Oryzias latipes: one gene and its partners. The protein of the gene in region 1 interacts with the protein of each later gene in a biochemical or structural test. Links are inferred from orthologs where the notes say so. Each region holds a gene or a part of one and is shown on either strand. Other genes may lie near its edges.

Region 1 (8,154 bases):
GGGGAGGCTAAATAATGGGTGTGGCAAAGAATTATGTCTATTCGTTTGATAACTGTCTGGGAGAAGCATAGCAAAATAACCCTGTAGGGGCTTTTGGTGAGGGGGATGCTTGGGGTGGAGGGGGCAGAGGCTGACTTATGGTGGCCTTGAGAGAGTTGGGGCTGTTTCCTGTCAGACGTCCAGAATTCCTGGGTGGGAACATTGACTGAATCCGTCCCAGGAGGCTCTGCTGTTGGGAATTCCGCCAAGTCTTTCCATTGCCCAGCAGGATATTACATCAGGACCAAAAACCTCCAAGTTGAATCTACAAAAATCTTTACAGAAAACAAAAATAATCTTGTAATGCACCTAAAACACTTTAAAGTAGATTAGAAATGTGTCATATGTATAGTAAAAAGGAAATCTTGATTAGAATATGCATTAACTCTTAAAATCTTATTGTCTGCTGACATTGTATGATGGTATGGTGGAAGGACCCTCAGTTAGATTGGCAATGCAATTTACAGCATCACACCTGGAAAGTTTTGGCTGAAAGTACTCCATAGTTTCAACAGCTTATTGAGTAAAGTTACTTTAAATTTCACAATTTTGTGACATCAACCATTTGATTTTCCAGGTTTTGCCAAGTGTTTGTCTCCCAGTCACAGAGCCAGTTTCACTTTTTGACTTTGAGAATCTAAAGTTGCTTCACCAACACAAGATTTCACACTCTTGAAATGACGGAATTTCTGTTTTATATTAAACATTAAAGAGGACAGTGGACCAAAGCATCCCCAAAAGAAACATTTTGCTTTGTTTTGTCACTGAAATGTTGCATTTTTCAGTCCATTCTCTTGTTCATTTAAACCAATAAGTAGCCTTTGACACACTATGCTATTGGAAAAACAATTGATAGTTATTTTTGAAATATTTTATTTGTAAAAATGATAAGAGGATGCTTAAAATCACATGGCATCACTTGTGTAACGACGCCATCTTGTGGAAAAACTGCACAATAGCTGTTGATCTTGAGCAATATTTTCTTTTTGTGCTAATCAAAATAAGAATAAAGTAAAAACATCAATCTTTGAAAGTATAACTTGGATACTTAAAATACCAATAATTGAAATAAACTTGGCATCTTAAAGTCAAGTCAGCAACAAACTTCTGCCTGTGTAACTCCAAAGCCACATCATTATTTCAGAAGCCAATGAAAAAAAATGTTGTAACTTCCCAAGTATGACAAAATAAGCTATTTCTTTCTGAATGCACCAGATCTGCTTACATCCTTGCAGATTTGACATTACTTAAAACCCAAACATGGAAATGTATTTTGGCTTTAGACTGTTAGTAAATAAATTTCACTAACTTAACCCTTGTGCTATCCTATGGGGTCAAGATGACCATTGACGCGCTATCCCTTGTGCTATCCTAGGCACTTTACCATTGGGAGTTGGGTCATCTAGACCCACTAGAGAGTGCACTGAACCTTTTTTTTCAATGTTTTGTGAACCTCACTGGTGTCCATGGATTACATGACATCTTTCCACCTTTATCCACCTTTGTCATGGTAGGAATAACACATCAAAGTAAGGGTGGGGTCATCTAAAATAGCACAAGGGTTATTCATACCATGACAAAGGTGGATTAAGGTGGAAAGATGTCATGTAATCCATGGACACCAGTGAAGACCACAAATCGTTGAAGAAAAAGGTTCAGCGCACTGTCTAGTGGGGTCTAGATGACCTCACTCCCAATGTTGAAGTGCCTAGGATAGCCCAAGGGTTAAGGAAATCGGTTTATTTTTCCTTTTTATAATTGTTTCCCAAGAGTCAGTTGTTCTTAAACTTTGCTAAAGAAATAAACAAATAAACAAAATTGTATTTTGTATTAATTTTTTAAGTTAAAAAAGTCAAATTTTCACTGGCACAAAAGACAGAATCGAAATATTATTTTGAAATCCAGTCGAAAGCCGGAAGTAAAACCAGTAGCAAGGGATTTAGTTTTTTTTAAACTAAAAATAAAACAGAAGACTGCTTAAATGCTAATTTCAGATGCCTTTATATAAAGTTATTTAAAGGTAAAACGTGCTGTACACCTGGCAAAATTATTTCTAGAAAATTAGGATACAAGACAGGCAAATAAATTAAAGGAAATAACCCGGGAGGTTTTGCTTAGAACTCGATATTAAATTCCCCAAAGCCGTTACTGTTTTAGCTATAATGTGATTTATAATTTTGTAATAATATTTGAATATTCAAAAAGGCTTCGACACTGAGCCTGAGGTTTGGCCGTTTTTGTTGTTGTTGTTGTTTTTAGACAATATATATATATATATATATATATATATATATATATATATATATATATATATATATATATATATATATATATATATATATATATATATATATATATATATATATATATATATATATATATTGTGTGAAAGGAGCCCCCACCCCTTATCCATAACTCAATGTAAACACTTCGTGTCGCTTCCGCTTTGACAGTTAACCTACACGTTTGTGGAAAGGAGTGGGGGTTTACCGATCCATCTGGTTACATATCATTAAGTAAAATGACCTCATTTTGATAATTTAGGAGTTCTTTGAGGAGCAACTTATATTTGTGTATGTGGTTCGTGGGTTTGTGGTAACCTAAAATGACTTTAGTAGAAATATTGTTCATTATTTTTAATACGTATTACCCATGGATTGTTACGGTGGTACAGTCCACAACACCCGGGTTTCCGCGCGAAAAGACGGCCCGCGCGCCCGAATTGCTTATAGCATTCACATAAGGAGACAGCACGCGGCAGTCGCTACCAGTGGTTCTGCTTTGTGTTTGATGACGGCGTACTAAAGTTCGTTTTAGCGGTTTTATTTTTTAGTTTGCAGTTACGATGCCATCCAGAACGTCCCTGTCTTTGCCAGACGATGTCAGAAAAAGGTACTTATAACGTGTCTTAAATGCTGCCCTAATCATGATGAAGCTAGTGTGGTTTTATCCTGAGTCAGAGTCTACAACAACGACCCTCACGCATTCGTCACTCCCTTAGTTAGAGTTTACCTGTGCGGGCTCGGCTTAACGAGCACGTTACCCTTGGTTTGTACTAGCAGCTGCAGCTAGCTGTAGCATATGCCATTCGACCAATTAGGGAGGTTTGAAGTAGTTTTCCCTTCTACTAGCCCGCTAGCAACGTTAGCATCACAGTGATGGAACGACATGACATTTGGCGCCAGTTGGGAAGTCCTGATACCCACGCTTTTTTTTATCATTATCTTGGTATCACAGACAATATGTGTAGCTCTGTAAGATTGGCGCCCTGTAACTTGCAATTTCCGGTTCAAATACATGCCATTTGTTTACAGACTGCAGATGCTGGAGGAGGACGGATCTTCAGAGGAGGTAAAAGCTCTTAGTGTAGTTAATCCCAATGTGGGTGTTCTGCTTTGACAACTTTGAATATGCATGCAAAGATGGTTTCATTTAGAGCCCAGGCTTCCAACATATTTTATTATGAGACCATGGATACAAATATGGCTTTTTTTTCTTTAAAAAAAAAAGCTGCCCTGTTATCTTGCTACTGCATACTTTCTTCTTTTGAATGTAAGATGTAGCTACCTATTAAAAAAAATATTTTTTTAACTGTCATGGTAGTTTGTGTGTGTTTTAAGATTTATATTTTTATCTGGAAAACAAACAAAATATATATATTTTTTAGGATCAAGTCAAAGAGAAGCTAAAGTTGGTGCAGGACTTTCTGCATGATGATACTCAAACCCAGTTGACCAGTCTTGAAAAAGAAATGAAAAGTTCTGAGATCTCGAAGGTTTGATACATCCCATTATGGCAACATAATTTAATAATTACCTCTGTTGGTTGGCTGCTTGCTGATTTCTTGTTTGTTTTTCATTTTTAGGAGGTATACATATCAAAAGTAAAGGCCTTATTGGGAAAGGAACTTCATCTGGAGAATGACTTGGAAGTTGGAAAAACAAATGGCTTCTCAAACGGCTCTCATGAAGATGAGCAGGATGAAGAAGCCATGGGCACAGATGATGTCAAATCACCGCCTCCTTCCAAAGGGAAGGCTGGACGCAGGAGCAAGTCCAATGGTGATTCAAAAAGTAGGCCTTTTTTTTTTTTTTTAATTATGCAGTCATGGGTTTTAAAAAATCAGTGTGTTAAAATATAAAATCATCCACTTCTAGAGTCTCCAGCAAGTGCAAGAGTCACCAGGAATAGTGGGAAACAGCCAACTATCTTGTCAATGTTCTCCAAAGTGTGCGTATAAGTTTTATATGTATATATGCATAATTGGAAGCTCCATTTATTCAAAAAAAGTGGTAATGTATAAATATTACATTTGTTTTGCAGTCAAAAGCGCAAGTCTGAGGAAATGAGTGAAGAAAGTGTCAATGGAAAAGATGAAGTGAAGAAAGAGGAGGATGTCGAAGAGGTGCATATTAAGAGGCATCTTTGTGGCCTTCATTGTCTAATATAATTGAGTGTTTTATTGTTTTGCATTGTAGTCTCAAGAGAAGAAGCGCCTCAAAGTGGAATCTGATGAAAAGTAACTCATTTTTCCTGATCTTTTTGTGTTGACTTTTTGATGTCGGATAAACTGATTTACGCTTCTCCTGCTGTAGTTCTGCTGCAGAAGATTGTAAGAATGACACAACCAAGCCAGTATCTGCTGCAAAGGTATTTAATCGATAGAACTGCTCTTTTATGTCTTTTGTTTTTCCAACATCTGTGATTCCAAACACACAAACTATTTATACATTTTTTTTTATACATTTTTTTGTTGTCTTTCTAGACCCCACCTCCCAAATGTCAAGATTGCCGACAGTTTTTGGATGACTCAGATCTGAAGTTCTTTCAAGGAGATCCTGATAATGCTGTGAGAATTTCCTACCCATTTAATATATAGTGGGTGCACACACATTTTTATTTTGCCTTATGGGTTTCTTTCCCTTTTTCAGCTTGATGAACCTGAGATGTTAACAGATGAGCGTCTCTCCCTCTTTGACTCAAACGAGGATGGGTTTGAGAGCTACGATGATCTGCCACAGCACAGAATCACAAATTTCAGGTTTGCAGTTGTTTAAGTGTTACAATGACGCCAGAGATATTTACAATGTTTGCACCACATTCTCCTTTTCTTAGCTTTATTGTTAATTTTTTCATGAATAATGGCATATTTTACCTTTCAGCGTGTATGATAAACGCGGTCATCTGTGTCCGTTTGACTCCGGACTGATTGAGAAGAACGTGGAGCTTTACTTCAGCTGTGCCGTTAAACCCATCTACGATGACAATCCTTGCTTGGATGGTAAGAAATGCTTCAGTTCAAGCACTGATAAAAGATTTTATTTTGTTTCTATTGTTGCTTTATCCATCTTCTTTTGATGCAAAATCAGGTGGAGTTCCTGCAAAGAAGCTTGGGCCGATCAACGCCTGGTGGATCACTGGGTTTGATGGAGGAGAAAAGGCTCTAATTGGTTTCACAACAGGTAACGCAGTTGTTTTCACGTCTAAAGTTTAATTTCCAGTGTTTCTCAGACTAATGTCAACTCTCTCTGTGCAGCGTTTGCGGATTACATCTTGATGCAGCCCAGCGAGGAGTATGCCCCCATTTTCGCACTGATGCAGGAAAAGATCTATATGAGCAAGATAGTGGTAGAATTCCTCCAGAAAAACCCAGATGTTACTTATGAAGACCTCCTCAACAAAATTGAGGTGGTGTTTTTCAGTTAAAGTTTTTCTTTTTAACACCCCCCCCCCCCCCCCCCCCCCCTTATCAAATGTGAATCTTGACAGACTATCTTCTTTTTCTACTTTCAGACAACAGTTCCTCCTGCAGGACTAAACTTCAACTGTTTCACTGAAGACACTCTGCTGCGCCACGCCCAGTTTGTGGTGGAACAGGTGGAGAGCTACGACGAGGCTGGCGACTCGGATGAGCAGCCCATCATCGTCACTCCCTGCATGAGAGACCTCATCAAACTCGCAGGAGTCACTCTGGGGAAAAGGTACAGTTAATACATTCAGACGCTTGTAAATAAATTTATATTTAAGAATTTTTAAGTTCATAATTAAGTGACATCACCTCAAAGTTAAAAAGAAAAAAGGGTCTCTCCTTTTGGTGGGATACTTAATTGCCCGACTATTGTATAATAAAGTAGAACAGTTTGGGATTATGACCATGTATCCTTAAAAACACTTAATTGTATTTAGATTGAACCCTTTTTAAATTTTATTTTTTAATTTTCTGCACGTCAGTCTTTGTCTCCCTGATGTCTAACATGTTTTTAACACTTCCTAATGCAGCACGCTGCTGTACTGGTAGGTGGTTCTTGCTGTGATTGCATCTTTATTCTGCTATGTGGTGTTTTTCTGTCAAACATTTAGAAAGTGAACAGAGTTCACACTGAGACACATACATGGTTTTTAAACTATTTTCATTTTCAGTTATTTTGATTTATATTGTGGTCTTTCAGTGTGATTTGCTTTTGTAAAGTTTTGTTGGAATAGTTTGGGATGAAACAAAATTATTTTAAGTCAAAGGTCAGAAATGTAAAAAAAAATGAAACTATCATGAAACTTGAAGAAAATGTTTCTTAAGAACTTCCTTTCTTTTTTTATCTTTTATGTTTATTTGTGTTTTGAGGTAAATTAATAGGCCTAGAGTTGGCTTTATTTTCAAGGTAATAGAGTAATTTTTAAAAAAAAGTCTTTCCAAAATAAAATTATTTCACGTTTTATACTTTCAAAATTTTAAAAGCCGTGAATTATCACTAGATTTATTTCTCTGACAAATTTTCCGAGGTAAAGAGTTTCAAAGAAAAAAAATCCTGTTTAAGTGTTAATATTTCATCTTTAAAGTTTTTTTCCATAGTTCTCCAAAGGTCAAAGGTTAAGTTTTGTTTGCTTGTACTGCTGCATGGCCTGATGCTGTGGTGTGTTTACGGCCAGGAGCTTCTTAGTTCCATCCCTCACCATACGATCCTGTGTTTGTGCTGCTCCAAAACCCGCCTCTCCTCTAAACGCTGACTCTGTTTTGTTGATAGGAGAGCTGCCAGAAGACAAGCCATCCGTCACCCGACGAAGATCGAGAAGGACAGCAAAGGACCGACGAAGGCAACAACCACTAAACTGGTCTACCAGATCTTCGATGCCTTCTTCTCTGACCAGATAGAGCAGAACGATAAAGAGAGTGCGCTCAAAAGGCAGCGTTGTGGCGTTTGTGAAGTGAGTTGGTTATTGTGTTCTTTGGTTTGTTTGTTTTTTGTGAAGTTACAACTCCAAATCTAACAAACTGGAATCTTTTTAGGTTTGCCAGTCTCCTGATTGCGGCAAATGTACCGCCTGCAAAGATATGATCAAGTTTGGAGGAAGCGGTCGAAGCAAGCAAGCCTGTAAACAGAGAAGGTGAGGATGTCTGAGGATCTCTTTGTGGGAAGTCCAAGTCATCACAAACGTTTTGATGGGAAAAAAGTTCTGGTTCAGTTTAACTTTGCCGTATATGCCGCTACAATCATTGCTGCAGGATAAATATTTTTTTTTACAGAAATCCTCGTGTCTCTTCTGCTTCAACTCTTCATACTTTTGTTGTGGTTGCGACAGAGAAATCCGATCTATTAAACTCTCTGATGGCCTTCTTTTCATGCTGTTTAGATGCCCTAATCTTGCTGTAAAAGAGGCTGAAGATGATGAGATTGTTGAGGAAGATGTTTTGGTAGAAAAGGCAAAGAAGGACGCCAACACCAAGAAGAAGAAACAAACTCAGTGCAAGCTTGCATGGATCGGAGAGCCTATACTGGTATGTCTTTTAGTTTTTTTGATTGATTTACTTAAGCCACAAATGTAACTGACAATGATCTGTTTGGCTTTAGTCGGAGGGGAAGAAACACTACTACAAGAAAGTGTCCGTCAATGATGAGGTTTTGGAAGTGGGAGACTGCGTTTCGGTTTTATCTGATGATCCATCCGTTCCTCTGTATCTGGCCAGGTACAAGAAAGAAAAGGTGTACTTTGGTGATGTTTTGTTTTACAGAGGAGTAACCTCCGTTCGTGTATTGTCTCTCAGGATCACTTCAATGTGGGAGGGTTCCCACGGGAAGACCTTCCATGCTCACTGGTTCCTTCGAGGGATTCACACAGCGC
Region 2 (7,840 bases), on another chromosome or scaffold:
GAGTCATGAACAAGGAAACCACTTCTACTGCCTCTAGTGGAATCACGGTGAACTACAGGTCAGAAAACATGTATCAAGTTCTGAAAATTGATTTTTCAGGAAAGTTTGGCTCAAGCTATTGAGATAGGGGTCTCCAAAATGCATGCATCAAAAATGATACCAATGGTTATGTAGGGTTAATGTGAGTTTCGACAAGCTTTCCTTCAGCTCAGAGACAGACTGCCTTCCTGACCTGGTTTTGTCACAACTTCCTCCAAGTGTTCAGTAAAAATTACAGCTGTGATGCTTTTTATGAGGCCTGACTGAGGCTTAAAATGGCCAATTAAAAAGTGGAAGCCCCCAGTCAGCTTGAAAGAACTTGGCTGTGCTTCAGTTTGTGATTAGTCTTAACCTGGACGGTGACAGTTAATTAAATATTGAGGCAGCTTAAATTGATTCAATGTGCCTTTGCTTTATCGGTCACTTCTTTAATTGACGTTCTAATCTCACTCGGCTCTTCTTCTTTTGCAGACAGACTCCGCTCCTTATCTAAAAGAGTGCACATGTTTAAGGGGCAGAAATACATCCAAGCAGATATTTTAGTACACAGAAGAAGCTGTAAGAGTTTTGGTCAATTTAGATCATTCATGACAGTGGTAGGCTTTGTAAAGAACATTTGTTTTTTGAATGCAACAGAAATAAATCCAAAGACAGGAAATCCCCTTTTTTACTAGATAGAATTTGGATTTTCTGGGATAACAGAGACAAGAGGTCCACTCCTCTCCCTGCTTCTGAACTGTATCAGAATATTCCTTATTAAAGGAACGCTGCAAATGAGGAAAATTATTTTAAATATTTGCTGCTTTAGACAGTCGCAGGAGAAGCCACAAGGCTGCACCCTGACATCGTCCAGAAATGAGAAAATCCCTCTAAAAGCACCTTCAAATCTACCCTAATTAACTTGTGGCATCTTCTTTAATCCTGTCAGAAACTGAAACATAAAAAAACAATTTGTCGGAGGACTGAAACATACTTAAGGCTTGTTGCCAAGCAACAGCTGTTCTTTTAAAACGTACAGTTTTAGTTTCAGACTTAGAACAGGCAGAAGTATCAAAACTGCTTTGGCATGATGTGAATTTTGTTGCTTTTGAATAAACTCACCTCATCCCTGCAAGGCAATTAAAAGGTAAATAAAACAGACCTATTGATTTTTGCCTTTACTTTTTAATGAATTAATCAAGGATTTGGAATTTTCTCTAAAAGGTATTTGAAAAAAAATCTGCATTTACTTTTTTACTTTCTTCTCACTTTCTATTACTTTCAAAAGCCTTGGTATTTTTGAAGAACTAGGTGAAATGTTTTATTTTATTTCTTTTTGTCCAAAACATGTTTATCATAGTTAGCTACAGTCATTTATATTCAGAGTCAATGTTTCACTGTAAGATATTTTTAACATTTTTATCAAACTCAGAATTCTTCACAGATATAAGATGTCTAAGTTGAAATACCTTTATTTTAGGTTAAACCTTCATGCTGTGTCACTAATTCAGCACATACCATTTAATCAAATTACACTTAAATTGGCATCACAATAAACGTGCTGGTTTGCGGCGCCTTCCGTCCGTGAAACCCGGGTTCGACTCCAGGCTGCTCCCTGTTCCCTTCTCTACCTCTGCCGGTTCCAAGCCCGGTTAGAGAAGGTTGCGCCAGGAAGGGCATCCGGCGTAAAACATTGCCAAATTTACCATGCGACTTGTTCGCTGTGGCGACCCCTGATGGGAGAAGCCGAAAGTGGAAGAAGAATTGAAAATAAACTCAGGCATGAAGGGGTTAAACTACACAACCTTTAATAATTTTTCTATATCCTGTGTTTTTCACAATAATAGCATTTTTTTGGCACCAGTGTCAAGTCTTTCTTGGTGAAGTAATTTTATTTTGGTTAATATGTTTCAACAAAGAAAGATGGAAATAGTATAAAGGGTTAAGATTGTTATAATTAAAACAAGCAATAAAACATGCAAAGGAAATTGATTTGCGCGTCAAAAACAGCATGTCATTAAAATATTCACGCAGATTCAAGGCAAAACTAACAGAACTTAACAGACCCACAGTCTGATGTATTTGCATGAATATGTAGATTATCTTTGTTTCATTTGAAGGTGGTCCACTTTAATAATGCTGTGGGATGTAATTTCTCTGAAAGCAGGCTCAGAACTCAGATTATGTGGTTAAATCCCAATCAGACCATCAAAGTGAGCTGCTTTTTTGTTCACTGTACTGTAAAGCTCAACCTAACACTGTGGATAACCTGGAATATCTCATGCTGAAAAGCTGATTTTTTGGTCACGTTGAAACCTCTTCTACCTTAAAAAGGGGGAATAGCACCACCCAATGGGCGTTTTCTGGTTACACATCTTTTCCTCTGGGACAGGAGCAAAAAATAAAATCTATTTGAATTGCATACCAACAGATGAAAAATAACAAAAATATCTGAAGTTTGACCCACACACATGTGCACTTATTAAAGGTTTGCTAGTGAAACTATAAAGTGGACAGCAAACAACGTTTTTTAACAACTTGAATCCTTTATTTCCGATTGAATTTATGAGTACAAAACATTTGGAGCTTGCAGTGTGACGCCACAGGAATTATTTACAGAGGTGTTATCTACAACAGAATGGATACCTGCAAACAAACGGGATAAAAAGAGGGAGAGAACAGGCCTAAAACAATTGCTGGAAACTACGACAGATGTGTCTGCCAGCTACTCTGAGCGTCCCTGGACTTCATTTTGAGCCCAGGAACCTCAGAGTGACCACAGTTCACCACAGTAAGATCCCTTCAGTCCTTCAGGAGGAGTCCCAGTCATCCATCACCTGCATTCTCCCCCCTTTTCGGTCTGTGCTTCCAACTTAAGAAGCTTCCTCATCGATCTTCGGGGCCAAGTAGTATTTGATGTGTCCCATATCGGCAATCTTGTACTCCACCACTGTGAACAGATAAATGTGATGAGGTCGAGCTTCAGCAGGTGTGATGACGGACACACAACGTAAGCCACCTTACCAAGGGGGATATCAGCAGACATGCTAAGGGTTACAGTCTTTGACAGCGGAGTGGCCTTGGTGAAGAAGTTCAGATAGTTGAGAGCAAAAATCAGCTGGACGGGTTCATTCATCTCAATGGTGACCTGAAGGAAAGCGGGAAGTTACAAAACGATGTCAAAACAAACCGATTTTCCTCTGCAGGACAGATCCACCCCTCATACTTACGGCCTCTTCTTCTTTGTCCACATTGCTGGTCTGGGACAGCTTGATGTTTCCCGTGCCCAGCTCTCCCGAAGCGGAGAATTTAACACCGTCTTTGGCACAGGAGATCATGACGGCGTCGCCGATCTGCGACAGGTCACGGCAAATACGGGCGAACTCCCCGGAGGGCATCTTCACCACGCAGCTGTACTCTTGTTCCTGACAGGAGCAAAGAAAGTGAAGATCAGGGAATGCTGGGAAATACTGCAGAAGAGGTAATTAAAAAATACCTACTGGAATGCCCAGCTGCTCCACATCCAGGTCCATCAGCTTCATTTCATAATCTGAAACTTTTTCTTGGTCTGCAGGAACACAGAAAAGTGAAAAGGAGCATAAAGACTTTGGAGGATTTTCATCAGATGAACAGTTTCCGTATGACGAACAGTTAGAAACTTACTGATGGTCTCAAACACAAGAGCCAGAGTGTCAGCGGCGTCCTCCGCTCTGAGGGTGATGATGTCCTCATTTCCCGCACACTTCAGGATTTTGGACATACTGAGAAAAGCAGTAAAACATTTGAGCTTTTATTTGAATAGCAAAAATTTAGCTTTTATTAATGTCACCTTTTAATCTATAAGTATAAAGTACTATGTTTGAAGTAAATTTATTTTAAAAACGATAACGTGGTATGTTTAAAAAAAATGATCCAAGTATTTGTATCAACATGCTAATCTAATTCCGGAAACTCTTATGAAAGAGTGACGTAAGCGGAAGTGCAAGTTCCCGGGTTTTGAGGATTCCCGCCAACACTGCCGGCAAGAGTTTTGGCGCTAAAGTACCGCAGCAAGTGCGGCTCTGTGACAGCGCAAAGACATATTTGCACATGTCAACGTTTTAGACGTTTTGTTTTTTTGCTGGTTGAAATCAGCGAGTGGACAGTAAAGAGTTAACCGAGCAGGGAGACATGCCCGGGCTTCTCCAGCAAGATGGCCTCCTTTGTCGGCCTCACAACGATCGACGTTTCACTCGTCCAAGATGATTTTGGCGCCACACACGATTACCATGAACAATTCGTAAATGTCTGAACTTGAAGTCAGCCCCTGATAATCACTTTAAATACATTTAATAGGCAGAACACATGACATGCAGATTATACACGAAGCTTCCCTCTTATTAAACTTTGTTGTTTTTCTCCCCGTCACCTGCTAAGGTTGACTCCCATGGCGAGGTTTCTGTCGCAGCGGTAAGAGTCGAAGCCGTCGTGCCGGAGAGTGAGCTGCACCAGGGATACGTGAGACGAGTCCATGCTCTGCAGAGAGATGCCGGACGAACTGACGTCCCAGCAGGCTTCTGTGATCAAATCCTTCAGGGCTTCCAGGACCTTTTTCAGGATGGAGCCCTGGACCAGGCGAGCCTCAAACATGGTTATTCTGTGGAGGGTTGCGTAGATCGAAAAAGAAGGCAAAGGTTGGTGGAGGTTTTCAGCGCTGCTCCGGTAAAAGGAGGCTGCAGTGAGGAGTAATCACGACGTAGGCGATGACAAAGCGGCTTTGGCAGTTCAGTCTTTGTGTGGCACGCGGGCTACAGACGCGTCTTCTACAACAACCACAAGATTTGAGCTGGAAGCCCGCGCAAACGCCTGTTGTTTAATAACGCTGCGTCGTTGCGTCATTTCCGGACGTGTGACACACTTCCGTCAATAAAACGGAAGCTGGATGCAAATCTGCAAAAACATTTTTGTTTAGAGATTTAAAAAGGAATCTGCTTGTTGAAAAGAATTATTTTCACATTTTGGGCATGTAAAACATATTCCCGTAGTTTTTAATACAAATTGGGAATATTTCTGACTTTTAAAAATATTACAAAAATATTTTAGAATGAAATTAAAAGGTCTAATTGTTTTTGTTTTTAAAAGAAAGTGACCTCATTCTTAACAAAACACTGGTTAAATAAATGTTTTCTCTTGTTTGGTGTGGTAGATTATAATACTCTTAAAATAAAGTGAGAAGAGTTTTCTTAAGTCATCAGATGTCCTGCAAAAATGACACTAGTTACTATATTAATTAAATCTGAGGAAATAAGCTCCTAATGTTGATCAATATATGGAGTTGTTGTACATTTGTAACATTGAATGCCTGAATAATATTAATTTGTCTCATGTTTTACACATATGTTTGTTTTAAGAAAATTGCATCATTTACAAATGTACAAAACAAAAAGATAAACGTTTAAATGATGTTACTAAAGCATAATGCATAATATTCAGACTGTCTCGGGCCAAAGTCCTCTTATCAAAATCCCAAGGCACACCACCATCACTCACACACACACTAAAACTCTTTCGACTGCATTAACAATACGCATTCTCATCAAAGAGTCTTGAATAAGAATCAAATAAACACGAAGACAAATTTTTTGTATGATTTTTCATATTTCATGTTTGGATGAAAGCAGAGCTGATATTCTGGCAATTGTAAATGTTTTTTTTAGACCAATTAGACCAAAAGAGTGAAATTGAATGATTTTCTATGACACAGCTGATTATCCTTTCCAGTTTTCTTTTTATGTTTATATTGATGAGAATATATTGAGAAGAATAGAATTTTGCTGAGTAAGAAAAGTTAAAAAAATTTTTTTAATCAAGTATATCCAAAACATCAGTAAAACTTCATCTTCACATTTATTTTATTTGCTTAATTTTTAATATTATCACTGGAGCAAATATTCTGCCCCTTTTTTTACACCTTCTGCTCCTGAGTCTTAAAGATGCAAACCTTTACAGTGGAAAGTATCAATTTTACTTTCCACTGACTCCAACATCTTACTGAACAATACAGACTTTGTTAACACCGATTATGACTAGTTTAAATGTATGGAGCATCAAGTTTCTTTTTACTACTTTAACCTCATGGATGTTGTCAATGATTGCTTGATGTTTTATGTGGAATTTGCATTTTAATAAATAAGAAAAGCTGACACACAGATTCAAAACTAATTTTATATATAAAATTACACTCAGGAAATGTAATTTCTTCACCAGTATTTTCTTTGGCATTGTCTCAGTGCTGTTTTAATGAAAGTAAAAACACCTCAAACATTCTTGAGGTCACTGGTTCAGCTTCTGAGCTGCCATTTTTATATATATTTATCTGTGCTTCCTCATACAAGAGTTGTTCCAAAATTAGTGACACTACTCTTCAAAATAAACCAATCTGAACAATAAAGTTGCTGTAAAAACCTTTATTAGGCAATGTGCAGTTCTTGATGTGACACGAACAACAGGAAGTTTAAAAAAAAAAGAAGCTTTTTCCAAATACTTTTAATGCTCACAAAATGAAATGTTTTTGTAAGCAACCCCTGAGTATATAACCCATTTAAGCAAACCAACAGGCTTTTGACAGGAAGAGAGCTTAAAGTTGTAAACAAAGGAGGAGAAATAACCATTTGTGATGTTAAAGATAGTTTTTTTTTTTGTAATACTGTACTTGGAAAATACAACTTTGCCTTTTCAGATTTTTAATTCAGACCATCTTTAAGGATGTAGTTGGTTGTCATGGCAAGCACAGGAGCCCCTGTTGGAACACCCGGGAAAGGACCACTGGACCCAGCAATGTCAATGTGGGAGTATGGCAGAGGGGTGTCAGAATCTACACCATGCTGTGGGAGAAAATCAGAAGTTAGACTTACTGATGCATTTTCTTCACCATACCAAGACGTTTTTGCTTCCTGGTAGCATATGAGCACCTTGTCTAGTCCCGAGGCCATGATGAGGAAAGCAGCGGGGCTCTGATGTCCTCTAGGCGTAGCGGAGGATGGCAGGTTGTTGGCCTGCAGAATGTCCTCATACTCAGACTTGCCCTTGTGGAACTCATAGTCCTCCCGTCTGATCGTGGAGACCTCAAACACATCACCTAGAACCTCTCCAGCTGTGGGAAGAAGAACAAAGATCTGTAAACGTATACTCTGCGTTTCCTATAGAACGCTTTTAATAATGAAAACGTTTGAAATGTCGTTCATCTGTTGCACCTTGCACAAAAACATTAATACCACACCCTGTTTTTTATTTTTGTGATGATCAGTCGGACCAAAATTAAGCATGCCATGTTCATCTGCTAAGTGTGTGCCACTGTTTACTGCCCTTTCCAATATGGTGTCAATCTTTACGTACATTGGACGATGGTAACAGGCTGGTGTAGCGTCTCTAGCTTATACAACTCATTGCTCCATAAAATCACACAACACGTGAGCACTGAGCATTTCTCCCTTTCTCTCTATTGTTAACTCTGAAAAAGTTACACAAGCGCCCTCTGCTGGATAACCTGGAAATTGCACGCCAAAAGATTTTAAAACTGTCAATTTCTGCAGTTCAAGTTCTGTCTGATCCATAATTTTACTCCAGGAAGCACTGACAGATCCAACCAGATTTAGTATGTAAATGTATTACATTTTAATAGATTTATTATTGTAATAAAGTACATTTATAACATCAAAGACTAAAAGTCTTCAAATGCGTTGTCTTTCCTGCTAAGCAAAATGAACTCTAAACATTTAAAGGAGAAAAAAATAAGACAATTTTACGATCAATAAACCAAATAGTATGATTCACAGCACAGTTT
Region 3 (7,966 bases), on another chromosome or scaffold:
CAGCACGAAGGAGCAGGTTTATACGTACGGGTCGTATTTGCAGTTGGGCGTAAAGGAGTGGTTGGCCTTGTGACCCAAAGAAGCGCAGTATCTCTCGGTCTGATCGAACGGCTTTGGCACATCAATGACGGTGTCTTCATCCAGGGAGATCGTGTTCCCGTTGAGGGCCCAGTCCCGGCTGTCCACCTAACAAACCCACCACAGCAAAAACGCCCTCTGTTGAGTTTTAAATAAGCAAACAAGAAGGTCAAGATGCACAGTGACAGTAGAGGGCTCCCTAAACGTCCCGCACCTCGGAGTGGGTGATGCGAACCCCGTTGTAAAAGGCCATGACGGTACCAGGCTCCGAGTCCTTCTTGGCGAAGAGGCCCTGCCCTGCTCCTTTGATCTTCGAATCGGCCACAAACACCCTGGAAGGAACAAAAGTGCAGAATCATTCCAAGTCTGTTTCCCAAGGAGGAGAAATCAGAGAAGGACTGACAGGAGCCCACCTTTGGCTCTCGTATGGGTCTGGGAGGAGAGTGTGGGTGGCAATGCAGGTAGACGTAGACTTATCATACGAGTACACGGGACCTTCAAAGTAAAGACATTGTCATTTTCCTGTCCAGCTTTTATTTCGTAGGCCAGTTCCTGATGGATGCACACACTTACTGTTGGGGGCAACTTCAAAGCGAGGCCTTCCGTGGTCTTTGGAGATCATTGTGGCGGATCGGGCTTCGATGATCTCCCCATCCACAAAGCTTCCATAAAGAGCGGTGCATCCATCAGGGTAGATGTACGCCATGGACTTTCCGGTCATCTCCCCTTCCTCGTTCACCTCCCCAAACACACAGCCTCCGTCCTGGATGCGCCGCCGAGAAGCACAAAGCCAACACCGTCACCAAAGCAGCGCAAGAGCCGCCACGACCGTCAGGGTGCTCGACTCACGGGGTAGTAGATCCAACACTCTCCACAGCGGGCGTCGTCTTTGTACTGGCCGTTAAACGACAGATGACCCTCACTGTCAAACTCCTGAGCAGGTCCGTTGAGCTCGCCGTCAACGTACATTCCATTGAGGACCCCTCCGTCTTCATAGGTGTACACCCCCTGACCCTGCAGGGCGTCATCCACATAGTAGCCTTCCAAGGTACTGCAGTCAGAAGGACAGGTCAATGGAGTTCAAATGAATCTGAAATCTGCATTTCTGCTTAATGGCGTCAAATTATTGCGTTAATTGTGATTAGTTTATCAACTAAGAACTCAGCAGCAAATGCGTCTTGCATTGCTCTCTGTGTCAATAGTGTTCCTAGCTGTGACGTCATCAATGTGAGACTTTGTAGTGCTTAACAGAAATAACCCAAAACAAAGCCACAAATGTTTTCTATCATGTCAGGGATAAAGCCAGACGAAGTGTTTGTTGTCATAAATTAATGCGGAACATGAAGGGCAGATCGCATCGGACAGTAAACTGTAGAATAATGTATCTATGTATAAATGATGATGATGTAACAGGAAGAATTCATACATAATATATTTATCTGTGGTCGATCTGTAAAGGGTTGATCTTGATTCGTGAATAAAATCGGATCGTCACCTAAGTAACTATCCATGGGCCTAATCCAGGACGTCTTCCTGTTTTCTACACGGTAGATTTCTTAAATATTGTCAAAGTATCAATACAGAAAATTCACTGTAAGAGTTTTTTTCCACTTAAATGTAGCTCGAAGTCTGTAGATTTTAAAATACATGTTTATACTCTGTGGTCTATGCAGAATGCAGCCCTTTTGATACCCAGAACTGTGCTCAAAACACATTTTAACTGCTTTTTAGATCTCATATTCTAAATGGTCAGACCCACTCCTACATATTTGTTAGAAATTATTTAATATAATGAATACAGACACTTGAGTTTTATGATTTTTGGATTACCACACAGGACAATAGGGCTGCACTATGTTAGGAACACTTGTGATTTGCGATATCAGTGATCAATATTGCAATGATGATATAACTTGCGATAAATGAACAAATAGCGAAAGCAACTATGTACATCAATTCCATTTCACTGCAAGAGTCAGCATAACTTGCTTTACACTCCAAAGACCTTAGTCTACATAGGAGGCATATATATAACATAAAAGGGCTCCTTACGATTGGTGTAAAGGAGTCTATCTGATTGGTCAAATGCATAATGGTATTTATTTGATTCGTTAAATACTTTAAGCTGCCAAAAGATTGTTTTAGCAAATTTAAGGTAACCCTTTATCGCAATTTTCATCAACTTTTGCGATATGCGTATTGCACATCTTGATTTCGCGATAACGATAAATTTGCGATTTTTTGTGCAGGCCTAAATGACAATAAATCTGTTTAGGTTTCTACCCTACCTTCCGTCAAAGAAGAAGAACTTGCCCTTGCCATTCTTCTCTCCGTGGGTGAAGTGTCCCTCAAAGCGATCGCTGGATGAGTACGTTACGGTGCAGAATCCGTGAGGCAGACCGTCGTCATCCAGTGGTCCTAAAATAAAATCAACACCATGAATATTTAGTGACATGGAAACCACAAAGAAGACAGGACTAAACGACTACTCTACCGGTAGTCGTTTAAGGGAGTAGCTTAGGTTAATCTTAGAGGGTTTTATGTGTTTCTATTCTGTTGTGTGTCTTTTAGCCTTGGTGTTCTTGTAGGAAGTCCAGAAAAACGAAAAAAAACAGAGAAAGATTTCGTTGGAGCATAGAAAAATAAAGCAGGGATGAAGACAGAATGACACACAAAAAAGCCCTAACAGGTTCTGTGAATTCATGGAATATGGGTCTGATTTCAGAACAATTCACCTTCTTTGTTCCCTGGCTTCAGACTGGCACTTCTTGTGCCTGGCTCTCTCTTCACACACTTGCCAATACCCTTTGCATTGATCAAGGGTTGTGATGTATTCTGCAGCTCCAATCTTTTCCAGCAGGTCATCTGTTCTGGGCACTACACACCCCCAAATCCTCATTGACAGCCAGGCCGGGGAATTTGTTTATCCAGATATAATTGCTTTTTGCATTTGGTTCTTTTATTTACATGGTCTAGTCAAAAATGTAAAAACCTGTGTTGTCATCTAGGACATAGTTTCTGCAGAGCAGCAGAAAGTTCATCTGAGTTTGTGGGTGGAACCGTTAGTGCCTCCCTCTTTTTGAGAATTCTCTCCCGCTGCCTTACAGCCCATCAAACCCCCAATCGAACCTTCTCAGACGAGGAAAACAAAGAAAGACGTACACAGATTTCTTTGTCTACAAGTGGATGCATCAGAATGGGCGGAGCAGGGAGCTTTTGCTCCGCCCAGTGTGTTTTTACATCACAAATGCTATTTTTTTCAAATATCATTCCTCAATTTACTCCTTAAGAATTACTTAATACATTAGGTTTTCAGCATAGGTTTTTTTTACATGTCCAACATCATCAGAAAATTGGCATAAGAACAACAAAAACACAGTTTTGGTCAGACTTGTGTTTGTTTTCTTCCAATCCCTTAACATGTAAAAAAACAAAACAAACTAAAGTTTAACTGAAGACATCTGTGGTTAAATTAGTGACTCAGCAAATATAAAAGACTAATTATTATTTATGTATATAAGAATTATCTGTAGACATTTGACATTTGCATTAATATGTCACCTTATAATCTTTAAATTCATAAATCGAATATTGAAACCATTCCTGCAGCGGGACACTGAAATTACACAGACCGGCCTCGATCACCCTCTAAACGGACTGCTTCTGAAATCGAGTCACCGGCTTCAGAAACACCACAAAGGCCCACCATCAAACTCGCACGTGCGTGTCTCGTAGTAGTAAACATAACGCTCAGATCAGTGCCGTCATGTCCACGCGCCAGTTACACGTTGCGTCAGAAAGAATGGGGGTTTACCTACCTACCACCACCTCCTCTTCATTCTCTTCGTCGCTCTCCATTCCTCCGGAGGCCGCCGGCCGAACACCACCACGCGGCGGCAGTTCCCGTCACCCATACGGCTGCATGCCGCCAGCGCGTCACGTGACACCCCGATCAGACACACCGTGCAGCAGAACGTTCGCGACTGTTTATCCTGCTTATGCTTTTACTGTTGTTCGCTCCACAAAATCAAATAATCAAACTAAATTTGGCACTTTTTATTATAGGTAAGGTGACGTTCCAATGGAGGAGTACTCCATTATCAGAGACAGGAGGTGCTGTTTATCTAATATACACAAACAATTTGAATTCATCCACGTGACTGCACATTAGCCCAGTTATAACTCTGAGTTCATGTTATAACCTGGTTCACGTTTTTGCATTTTTATTCAGGTAAAACCTGATCCGGAAGTGGGGCAGAGCAGGCTGTTCAAACAACTCAGCTGCTTGTGTCGAATGATCTATAGACCACCTCCTCATGTTGTGGCTCATGACTCACTTTGCTTCTTGAACACCAGCAGAGGATTAACTAACCTCTCTGTCTCACACCTGCATGTAGATAAGATGCATTCGAAAGAACCTCTATTTTTAGGCTCAAAATTGCATTTCTCAGTACTTTTTAATTCTAATCATTGTGAATCAGGAAAAGATGAAAAATGCAGTTTGAAAAAAAATCGTCTTTGCAATGTAATAAATATATGTGAGATGCAGGAACGTCTTTGTTTGTCCTCGTTTCCTCAAAACTGTATGGCTGCATAGCTCCAATATTGCTCCCCATTTTTGTTGCACCATTATTGTCGCGTTGGAGGGGCTGTAAGCTAGTGGGAGAGTCTGATGGAAAAGTGGAACTGGGTTTGCTCTCCGCCCATTGGATATATATCCGTCTGCAAGTGGATGCATCAGAATGGAGCTGAGAAGGGCGCTTGAGGCGGATTTTCTGCGTCATGGACACAAATTTTTTTCAAACAGCCTTTTTTCATCTGCTCCTGATTCACAACTTTTTGAATAAAGATATGCTCAGACATGCAGTTTTGGGCTTAAATTGTTGTGTTTTCCAGAACAGAGATACCAGAAGCAAACGAATGTAGAGCTTCAGCGAACCTCATGTTTTCTCCCTGACACACCCTATGATGGATGGCAGGACTTATAGGCCTTTCATACTTCAAAAATCCCCCGATGACTTTTTAAAAAAATTTTAATGAAAACATTCTCAGTGGTGTTTTAATTATGATTATAAAGTGTTTAACTAAAATCTAACAACCTAAATGTATTTAAAGCTACATTTCATGTTTATCTGAAAACCTCTGCTTATATGGGCAAGGCCGTTATTGCTGAACTGAGTATGAAAAAATCTAAAAATATATAGTAAAAAAAGAAATAGTCAGAAATGCAAAAATGAAATTATTTCCTATTATATTTGCTCTAAAAAACATGATTTTCATCAGAGGGGGACTTCAAATATGACCCTTTTCTGCAATAAAACGAGTACCCTCATGTGGCCACTAGGGAGCAGTGTCACACACCAAAACAGGAAGATAAAATTATTTGGACAATTAAATGTATGAACGGGAGCAAATTATGAGATGGAAGAGATCATTACCAAGAAAACATCTCCAACTGATTAAAACTGATGAAACTCAGGGAGCCAAATGTCTAAAGTGGAATATAAATCCAGTAAAGAGAATGCCAGGATGTTTGATTAGGTACAGGTGAGTACAACACATGTGATCCTATCCAGAATATTTTACTTTCACAACCTTGTATTTTTAACAGTTTAGTGCCTATTTAATCACTAGAATCTTCCAGTGTTGTGAAAGTAAGGAGGATTTTTATGTTTATTTGCTGCATGACCTGCAGTTCATTCTTATGAAAGAGCTTCACCTTCAAAATACAGCTTTTAACTCCCTAAAACTCCCTTTTGTTTCCACCCATCCAAGCTGATTTATTCATAAACAGCAGGTCAACCTTTAAAAGGAAGATGGCAGGTTCAGCCTATGGCCCTGCCGGCCCATTTGTTGAAGTGTCCTTGGGCAAGAACCCCACATTGGTATTATGCATCTATCTATCTATCTATAGATATATATATCTATAGATATATATACTTATGTAAGTTGCGTAATCATTATTTGCCAACACTCTATTATCACCATAATATGATTGTCTCAGTTCTATCTTTCAGTTAGAAAGCAATGACCTGAAATGTTCTGATTATACAAGAATATGATGTTCCTGTTATTCCTGATTAAATGACCTACATTCAGTTTTCAATAAAAAGAGGCTCCATGCACTAGGAAGGCTTAACTCCTCTGTGACAGTTCGCGCTGTGACAGGCTGATTCTCATGCAGACGTCTAGCAGGAATTCTCATCTCCTGTGGGGTTCTTCTCTTCATTAAGGAAAAAGTCAGAACCCTGACAATATATTAGCAGAGGCGTTTTTTCCGGATTCAATTAATAAACGTGCCTCAAAAAATGATATAAAATCAGCTACAGTATACATACAGTTTGTTATGGAGGAGTTTTTCCAGGAACTTGGTGATTTTATTTGTGCTTTTTGCAGAAAGTGACAGTAAAAGGAGATTTAAAGATGAACTTTTTTTATCTTTGGTTACTAGTTTGAATATTCAAATTCAAACGTACTTTATTACTCCCTCACATCTCGAACAAGATCAGACAATATTATATTAGTATAATATTGGTATAGTTTAAACTAATGTTTACCAAGTTAACGACAGACGTGGCATCACTTCAAGAAGAAAATGAAACCATTTAGTTTTCATTTCTTTTCAACAGAGCAGGACTCCTGTTGCAGCTTTAATGCAGATTTGTTTCTTTTTACTAAATCAAGTGTCTGAAATTTTTGTTTTCCTTGTTTCCTTTTTTACACATTATTTTCTTTTATAAAAACAGCTTTAAAGAAATGAAAAACATCAGATCAAAGCAACGTTTTAACTAAACAACGACGACAGAAAAACAAATAATTAGTACTGGAACTGTAATGAGGATTTCTTAATTTGGTAAAGAAAGACAGGATCATGTTTCTGGATCATGTGATGACACATTTTCTTTATTTGTACAAAAAAACAGTCTTTAGTGCAAACCAGAGTTCCATCTATACGGAGTAGCAGCAGAGATGTGCCAGGTTCTTTCCACAGAATAATTTAACCCCTTCATCTTCTTCAGACGTGTCTGCCGATGAAGGCACTTGGGCTTTGAAGTCTTTGTCCTTTAGGGGGAGCGAGAGGAGTTTCCTCAAACTTTTATGTGAACCTGACGGACAGGAAAGGTGAACATTAGGTCAGACGCGCTCAGAGGAAACTTTTAAACGTTGATCAGACACATGACATTTAAGGAAATCCAACACCCAGAGCTTTGTCAACAAAGAATGTAGACTTTGGTTTTTTTAAGTCCTGCCTTCACAACAGCCGTTCCCACAGAAACATGATTGTGTCTACATTAAAACAAGTTTCGCTTTGCGTTTTTTTTTTCCCTTTCAAAACACTCACTCAACCAGAAACACCTAACCCTAACCACCTCTTTGCATTTTACATGCATAGATTAGATTGATTAATACTGAGGAATACAAGATTTAACCTTACGTCTAGTAAAATGTGTTTTTTATATACACAAAACAGAAATATTTAAATGATTTCCATGTAAAGTGGAAAGTTCAGTGAAAGCTGCCTGACAAATGGAAGAACGTGTTTTTTTCTTTATTTATGAATATTAAAACTAATCTGCAGAAAGATTTAATGTAGTTCTTAAAAACATCTATTAGTCATTACTTTTGGTTTGATGCTACCTTAAGGAGAAAATACTAAAAAATAGTGAGTCGAACACGAATCCCGACAAGAACCTGGTTTATTTTTTTTTAGCCCCCGTAGTGGACAGCTGACAGATAACGTAAACCCAGCAACTGTTAGAAGAATTAAATTAAATTACTTTATTTAGATAAAATAGGATTAATGAGCTTTTATGCTAAAGTGATCCATTATTTAAAAAAAAAAAACAACAACATGGATTTTGTGTTGGAGCGTTTACATCGAAGGTCA
Region 4 (7,371 bases), on another chromosome or scaffold:
GTTTCATACTATTTTAAAAAATAACTTGTTCTAAAGTTTATATACATCTGCACATCAATCTATCAGTATAAAACACAAATCAAATCAGATAACAAGAATGATCAAAAGAACATTTACAAAATAGAGCCAGAAAGAACCTGATAATCTATTTCAGTAAAGATCACTTTTATCATAGAACTATGTATTTTTGAATCTATTCTTACAGCCTTGAATATTACTGATAGCCATAAGTTATGTGAGTGACCATGACTTGAACATGAATGATGACCAAAAAAACTATAATTCCTTTTTTAGCTGATTAAATGTATCGTTTTAACCTGTATTTTAATGTCTTTGTGTGCATTTCATAACACTGTGCGGTATTTTCATTCTGGTTGAGGTGAAGTTTATGATAAAGACTTAAATGATTCTGTTTTTGTAGGGCTCCCCTTTGTTTGAGCTGCTGAAGCGGGAAAATGAAGCTGGAGCCACAGAACAGGCCGAGCCCCCGGCGAGTTTCAGCTTACCTCTGCAACACAACCACACGGCAGCTGACCTGTGAGCCAATCTTTCCCTCAGCTCACACGGAACTGTTCTAAACCTGAAATATATGTTACTGTTATGAATGAGGACAAATCGTCAGTTCATTTGTCTTGGTTTAAATGCATGACTCAACACGGGGCCTCCTTACTTGTGGTGGAAATGACGCATGCTTCTTTGGCTTCTTCTCCATCTACAGATATCTATCCCCAATTCGCCCAGGTCTCCGTGTCTTGCCTCCTGAATCACCAGCCACGCCCAGCTCTCAGGCTTCCTCTCAGCCGACACCTCAGGCAGCAGGCCAAGCTCCACGGCAACCAAAGTCTAACTCTCTGAGCCTCTTCTATAAAAAATGTAAGATGTTTCTGTGATTATTTCCTTGATGTCAGTTTAACAAGAGCTATTGGTGCTGGTGGATATTGGTGACAACAAGTGAGACTTGGCTTGGCTGTAGTAAGGCTTCATCGTCCATCAGAAGAACAGCTCATGTGAGATGTTTTAAAAAAATAAAAGGTTTTGGACACATTGAGAGTAGGGACAGTGGTTATGCTGGTAAAAGGCTGCTTAACACCAACAAAGAGACCTAGAGGAAGACCAAATAGGAGTTTCATGGTTTTAATAAGGAAGTTTATGTGAACGAGGAAGAAACAAAGAAGAGGGTTAGATGGAGGTGAATGATTCACTGTGTAACTCCTAAAGGGAACAGCTAAAAAAAACAAAGAACGTGTCTGTAAGGAGTCATTGAATGAATGAGTTAAGCTTTATTTATATATCTCTTCACAACGCCTTCAGGGTATGAAAGTGTTTTACAATAAGAGACCACAGAACATTTGAAATTAACTTAACTCTTAGTACAACAGATTTATTGTCCAATCAGAGACAGACATCCATCTACATAATCTAAGAAGATGTTAAAGTTCCACTTTGATCGTATTTTTATCTAATGTAAAAACCTATCCTGTGTGTCCAGCCGTAGTTCTGAGCCACATACCAGCTCAGACAAGGAAAAGGAAGATGTTTTTGGATCTCTTTGTCTATAAGTGGATGAATCAGAATAGAACAGAGCAGGGAGCTTGTGTCCGCCCAGTGTATTTTCTATGTAACAAATACGATCTTTTTCAAACAGCATTTTTTTCATCTGCTCCTGATTCACAACAGCTTGAATAGAGATATACTCAGAAAATGAATTTTAAGCTAAATTTTCTTCACATGTCCTCCATCATCAGAATTATGTCACAAGATCATGTTAAAAACACCCAAAACACCATTTTCATCAGTGTGGGTTCTTGTTGAGTCCCTAACATCCTTTAAGCTACAGTTCTATATTACCTATTTTGTTTTAGCTTACTCACTTTTTGTAGTTCAAGGCTTTTATTAGTTTACCTGGAATTGGATGAATCATACATCTAACTTCCTGTTAGAATTTTGTTTTTTGTTTCATTTACAAATAACTTTTTATTTTCCTTATTTTTAAACTAGTTTGAATTGGGTCGTCCACTGGTAAAACGGAAAGTTCCTCTTTTTCTATTTCTATAGTGTATCGACTGGCATATACGAGGCTGAAGACTCTTTGTTCCTGCCTGCTTTCCAACCACCCGGACCTGGAGCACGTTATATGGACTCTGTTCCAGCACACGCTGCAATATGAGTATGATCTAATGAGGGACCGTCACCTTGACCAGGTGTGCTCGCCTTATCGTGCTCTAATGATTGTTTTTTTCTAGTTATGTAAAGCTAGAATTTCTTTATGTTTCTATTTTCCTACCAATTTCTTTCCTTTTTATTATCATGCTTTTTAAGAGATTATTAAGAATCTGTGACGTTAAAGGTATCCCTTATAACAATGGCGCCTTCTCTCAACATTTGTCACGATGAATAATCACAGCGAGGGAAAAGTAGAACTCGGTGTACGAGCTTTACCAGTCCAGGACAACAGAGAACAAGAAGAAGGAAGTTCTACATTTCTCTGTCAGACAAAAAGACCATCCATATAAATAAAATGCATGAACTTGAAACACTCTGGACTGACAGAATACAGATCACACAAACACAAAAAATAAACTCTCCATCAAAGAAAAATAAAAAAAGCACCTCCCACCCTTCTCTGCTGCTCCATCTTCACTCAAAATAAACTACAAATGTGTATTATTTTAGAATATTAAACTACAGTGATACAAATAATCCTCAAGGGATCCATAAATGTTACATCTAGTTTAATGATATAGTCTTTACTAGTGATGTGTAGATGAGGCCACGTGAAGCGTTTCAACACATTGCCCAAACTGTAATGATACTGTGTCGATACTGTGTCACTTAATACTGACTGGACCAAAAACGTTATTGCAGGGAACCAAGTTAAGAAACTCAGCTGATATACTTTTTAAATTGAAGCTAAACACAATATTTGTCATAGTAGTTCCTTATTCCCATGTCTCGCTCTATAATGCCCCAGCATTAGGAAAGTGCTTTTAAGTTTGACGGTTCTGCAGAACAAATGCCACATTTAACCTCTGAAACATAAAATGACTGATTAGAGTTCGTTGGAAATAGAATTATATTCTGCTAGATCAAGCGGAAACCGAGAGGAAGAGGAGAAACAAAAAGCCAGAAACACTATTAAAACTATTAAATAATTCCGCGAACCTCATTAAAACACCACATTTAACACCTTAAGTAAAGATTCAGTAAAATAAAACCTCAAACACAGGTGGGCGGGGAAAACGGCGGCACACGAGCGCGAGAATCATTCAACAGCTGGAAGCAGGGCGCGCATCTGAGGCATCAAAAACTGTTCTTCAGTCCAACTCACCGCTGGACTTATTTAGCACCCAAGTGACAGTAATGTAACCAAGAAGATCTGGTAATTTTTCAAAATATAATAACTTTCAAAATAAAAGACTGCTTAGAGACTCATTATAAAACTAACTAAAACCTGCAAAGTTGACGCGAAAACCACACAAATCAAATTTTCTCAGCAAAATCAAACCCACCCAATTGGGTGGAAAACCGCATGATCTGGCAACACTGCTGGTAGACGCGCTTCCTTGTTTGGCTCACAGTGGCTGTATCGGTCACGTGACTTCTCCTAAAGGGATACGCGCAGCGACACAGGGTTTCACTCTATGAGCTTTACACGTGAGCCGATGCGTCTGTGTTGCCAGACCCATCAATAGTCTTCACACTTTATATATTTACCATCATTTGACTCTAACTCAAGTACCGGTAGTTGATGGAGTCCACCCTTCTTCCATAATGAGAAACTGGAATTCCCTATTCCTAGGATCACATATGGAAATGTGATTATCTATTTATTGTGAAATATCTCCAATAAAAAGAGCAGTGAAGGAGGATGGAGGCTCCTCAGGGAATTCCTGTTTTAATGTCTTCTTAACACCGATCACCAGGTTAAAGATTTATCACAGATTCACCTAGGCTGGCAGCTGCGCTTCTGAGCTTGGTTGTCCATTTTGGTCACCATAGCAGTGGCAGCTGTGGTGCAGAGGAAGAGCGGTCGACCTCTGATTGGAAGATCGCAGGTCCGGTTCCCGCTGCGCTGAATGTGTTGAACCTCACATTTCTCCTCATGGTTATAGAATGACCCCAGTGTTTGGCAGTGGAGCCGTCATCAGTGTGTGAATGTGTGTGCATGAGTGAATGTTAGAAGTTTTTATGAACTTTTCTGGCAGTAGTGAAGAAGAATCTGACTAAAGTTCAATCATCTCTGCAGTTGATGATGTCTGCCATGTATGCAATTTGCAAAGTAAAAAGCGTCGACCTGCGCTTCAAGTTAATCGTCTCTGCCTACAAGAACATGCCCAACACCAGCCAAGAGGTGATGCAACTTTCAAAAAACTCTAATATAAACTCTTCTTTTTGAACAGTGACTTATGAGAATGTTGTTTTTTCAGACCTTTAAGCACGTGTTGATCACAGAAGGCCAGTACGACTCCATCATCGTCTTCTACAATCAAGTGTTTATGCAGAAGTTAAAAACCAACATCCTGCAGTATGCATCCACCCGGGTGAGAGACTTCAGACCTGTTTAACAGTGTGCTTTTATTGCAAATGTACTCGTCTCAGTGCATCTGCTGTCCTTTCTCTCCAGCCACCTACTCTTTCTCCGATCCCTCAAATCCCATGCAGTCCCTACAAGTTCCCAAACTCCCCTCTGCGTGTGCCGGGAAGCAACAATGTGTACATTTCTCCTCTAAAAAACTCACGCCTGTCTCCGGGTATGATGACTCCTCGCTCCAGGTCAGTCCCAAGAGCTTAGAATATGTCAATACTTTAGAAATATTTCCTTACAATATATTAATTTTTTTCCTTTGTGCAGAATGCTGGTTTCCATTGGTGAATCTTTTGGGGTTTGTGATTTTTTAAAATAAAAATTATTATTTTACTCATGGCTGGAGAAGCTGCTACATTTTCTTTTCTTTCCTTTTTTTGGTCTACAGTTTGCCAACCGCTTCCAGAAAATCAACCAGATGGTGAACAGCGGTGACCGCGCTCACAAGAGGACTCTGGATGGTGGCTCTGCTCTAAAGCCTCTGAAGAGGCTACGCTTTGATGTGGACGGGCAGGATGAAGCTGATGGCAGGTTTGTGACAATTCGACTTCAAAATTCAAGCTTGAGAGTACCGCCACAAATCAGGCTTATTTGACTTAACATCTGGATCATTTTTTCATTTCAATTTACAGCAAATCTGGAGGAGAGTCTGCACTGATACAGAAGCTTGCAGAGATGAGTAAGAAAAACACCTGTGCCTTTGCATGTCCCGCTGAACTCCTGCGGTTGTTTTCTCACACATCTTCATGCTGCTTTTCTTGCAGGCTCCACTCGCAGTCGAATGCAAGAGCAGAAGATGAAGGAGGATGCAGAATCCAGGAAAAAAACAACCTAAGATCTGCTGGACTGACCTGCACTGTTTGAACACTACTGTTTGTCCGCACACAAAGTGAAACCCAAGTTGCTTTTGGATTTTTTTGTGCACCTTTAGCTGCTTTTAGTTTATAGTTTGATTGAAAGAGTAGTTTGATGACATCGATTCTCTCCCCTTTTTTTGTCTTTGTCATGCTTTGAGTTTTTTAACTAAATAATGACTTTTATAGAATTGTGGTTGTTCCTGATGTGGGTTTGGTTTATTATAGTTGCTCCTTTTAAGGAGGAATCATTTGTTTCAAACGTCATTGGTTTTACTTCTGTCTTGGAAAACTGTCTATTCTTACATGTTTGGATCATGATGATCCAGCATTTTAAATGTTGATTCGTGGTTACTGTCAACACAAAGGAATCTGTCTCAGATGCAGATTGCTGTCTGGAAGTTTAGGGTCATGTCCTTAAGGGAGAAAATCGCATGTTCGACCAAAAAGGTCAACATATTGAAGGATCTGGTGACTAGTGTTGGTTTTTCTTGGACTAAACCTAAAAATGTTTATATTTTAGGTTTGTTTTAACTTTTGGTGAAAAAGGAAAATGGAAAAAAAAAAATTTCATAGTGTTTAAGTACTGAAAGAATATTTTTACGTATTCACTTCTGTGGTGAACTGAAGGTTGTTTTTGTGAGGACAAGGCAAATTCTAAAATAGGGAAACTAATTTAATTTACTGAATAATAAAGTACACGTGTAGCCTATATGTGGGGTTCATTCTAGAAAAATCCCCAGTGTAAAATATTGTTATTTCAGTGAACAGAGTTTAAGATGAATGCTTTAATAATGTGATATGCTCAACAAGTTCCTGGAAATAAAGATAATGAAACACAGTTAAATAGTTTCTTGTCTTTCATCTTTACACTGTTTCTCTTTTGTTTTTGTTCTAAACTTATAAAAAAGCTATGAGCTCATCTTTTAGAGGAAGATTTTCCACCGCCTGCTTTGCTACCTGACATTTACGAGAGGCTACAGCCAGCCGGGCTTCAAATCTAAGTAAAACTGATTAAAGAAAGTGAACATTCCACATAAAATGCAATTAACTGACCTTTTGTTGTAATGTCAATTTAGCTGCTAACATTGACCATTCATCAGATATGCACAGGATAGGACACTTGCTGTGGAGACTACCGAACAGAAATTTGCAGCAAAGCAGGTAAGTTGAAAAAGAAATTAAACTGAAATCTTAATACTTCATTATTTTGAAGTTATGTGGCTTTTGCAATAACACAATTTAAAGAAAGTTGTTTAAAAAAAGGGGGGGGGGAAACTTAAGTATGTTACTTGCAGCTGCTTGTTTTTCCTGTTCCCCTTCTGTGAGCGTCCTCCATATCCTCTGGGAGGAAAGATGACAGCAGTTGGGTGCCCCTTAACAACTAGCTTAATTGTGCTGAGGCACTGGGTACAGAGCGGAGACCAGAGATAATTCCTGTTTGAATGCAGAAACTGTTTACTTTAAGCCCAGCTGAGCATGAAACACTTTGAACAGGTTACATTTTAATTGGCCATTCCCCTTGGGGAACTTTGGTGTGTTACAGAGTTTATTGGAAGCTGATGAATCCATCCAGTCAGGCGGCAGCACATGATCAGCAATGTTATCACTTTTCTTCTTCTTGAAGCTGAATGTACAATCTTCTGCTTTAATCTCCAAGTCTCCAAAAATAGTTGGCAAAAACTCGACTTTGTGTCTCCAGAGCCTGTGATTGTATTCTTACGTTGGGAAATCCACATAGAGGACTTTAGTTTTGTCTCCAGGAATGGAAAATCTCACGGTAAGAAGAGTTTTATTTGCATTACAGGATATGAAAAAGTGTTACGATATACATTTAAAAAAATTACGTATTTTTTTAAATCAAAATGTAAATTTTAGTTGGCTTCTGTTTTGACATTCTGTTTTTCTATACTCCTCACCTTATTTCTATCA

The links.
Region 2: the proteins of dnmt1 (region 1) and pcna form a complex in vitro, tested with the Homo sapiens proteins (3 studies listed by BioGRID, with this or other methods). The link is inferred for Oryzias latipes from reciprocal best matches to the Homo sapiens genes DNMT1 and PCNA.
Region 3: of the proteins of dnmt1 (region 1) and setd7, one has a biochemical effect on the other in vitro, tested with the Homo sapiens proteins (2 studies listed by BioGRID and IntAct, with this or other methods). The link is inferred for Oryzias latipes from reciprocal best matches to the Homo sapiens genes DNMT1 and SETD7.
Region 4: the proteins of dnmt1 (region 1) and rb1 form a complex in vitro, tested with the Homo sapiens proteins (2 studies listed by BioGRID). The link is inferred for Oryzias latipes from reciprocal best matches to the Homo sapiens genes DNMT1 and RB1.

Annotation. Positions count from the first base shown.
Region 1 is NC_019866.2:8,442,442-8,450,595, forward strand, and holds the start of dnmt1 (DNA (cytosine-5)-methyltransferase 1), read left to right. Parts: upstream 1-2,737; 5' UTR 2,738-2,884; coding exon 2,885-2,931; intron 2,932-3,353; coding exon 3,354-3,390; intron 3,391-3,706; coding exon 3,707-3,814; intron 3,815-3,904; coding exon 3,905-4,112; intron 4,113-4,196; coding exon 4,197-4,269; intron 4,270-4,362; coding exon 4,363-4,444; intron 4,445-4,517; coding exon 4,518-4,558; intron 4,559-4,634; coding exon 4,635-4,689; intron 4,690-4,804; coding exon 4,805-4,888; intron 4,889-4,970; coding exon 4,971-5,080; intron 5,081-5,201; coding exon 5,202-5,320; intron 5,321-5,408; coding exon 5,409-5,501; intron 5,502-5,575; coding exon 5,576-5,727; intron 5,728-5,832; coding exon 5,833-6,020; intron 6,021-6,318; coding exon 6,319-6,333; intron 6,334-7,058; coding exon 7,059-7,239; intron 7,240-7,321; coding exon 7,322-7,419; intron 7,420-7,665; coding exon 7,666-7,810; intron 7,811-7,883; coding exon 7,884-7,999; intron 8,000-8,077; and 1 more. UniProt on the Homo sapiens protein: Methylates CpG residues. Preferentially methylates hemimethylated DNA. Associates with DNA replication sites in S phase maintaining the methylation pattern in the newly synthesized strand, that is essential for epigenetic inheritance.
Region 2 is NC_019867.2:6,549,357-6,557,196, forward strand, and holds pcna (proliferating cell nuclear antigen), read right to left. Parts: upstream 4,890-7,840; 5' UTR 4,648-4,889; coding exon 4,427-4,647; intron 4,210-4,426; exon of another isoform or gene 3,780-4,209; coding exon 3,682-3,779; exon of another isoform or gene 3,593-3,681; intron 3,587-3,592; coding exon 3,519-3,586; intron 3,500-3,518; exon of another isoform or gene 3,444-3,499; coding exon 3,249-3,443; intron 3,167-3,248; coding exon 3,043-3,166; intron 2,969-3,042; coding exon 2,892-2,968; 3' UTR 2,545-2,891; downstream 1-2,544. Other genes in the region: putative aminopeptidase W07G4.4, read right to left, coding at 6,741-6,881, 6,969-7,150. UniProt on the Homo sapiens protein: Auxiliary protein of DNA polymerase delta and epsilon, is involved in the control of eukaryotic DNA replication by increasing the polymerase's processibility during elongation of the leading strand.
Region 3 is NC_019868.2:27,265,886-27,273,851, forward strand, and holds the start of setd7 (histone-lysine N-methyltransferase SETD7), read right to left. Parts: upstream 4,307-7,966; 5' UTR 3,937-4,306; coding exon 3,897-3,936; intron 2,497-3,896; coding exon 2,367-2,496; intron 1,130-2,366; coding exon 928-1,129; intron 842-927; coding exon 652-841; intron 574-651; coding exon 492-573; intron 411-491; coding exon 293-410; intron 187-292; coding exon 29-186; intron 1-28. Other genes in the region: alpha-1,3-mannosyl-glycoprotein 4-beta-N-acetylglucosaminyltransferase B, read right to left, coding at 7,167-7,184. UniProt on the Homo sapiens protein: Histone methyltransferase that specifically monomethylates 'Lys-4' of histone H3. H3 'Lys-4' methylation represents a specific tag for epigenetic transcriptional activation.
Region 4 is NC_019872.2:15,911,204-15,918,574, reverse strand, and holds the end of rb1 (retinoblastoma-associated protein), read left to right. Parts: intron 1-421; coding exon 422-537; intron 538-718; coding exon 719-873; intron 874-2,055; coding exon 2,056-2,201; intron 2,202-4,246; coding exon 4,247-4,351; intron 4,352-4,427; coding exon 4,428-4,541; intron 4,542-4,624; coding exon 4,625-4,773; intron 4,774-4,852; coding exon 4,853-4,883; intron 4,884-4,973; coding exon 4,974-5,116; intron 5,117-5,217; coding exon 5,218-5,264; intron 5,265-5,349; coding exon 5,350-5,420; 3' UTR 5,421-6,282; downstream 6,283-7,371. UniProt on the Homo sapiens protein: Tumor suppressor that is a key regulator of the G1/S transition of the cell cycle. The hypophosphorylated form binds transcription regulators of the E2F family, preventing transcription of E2F-responsive genes.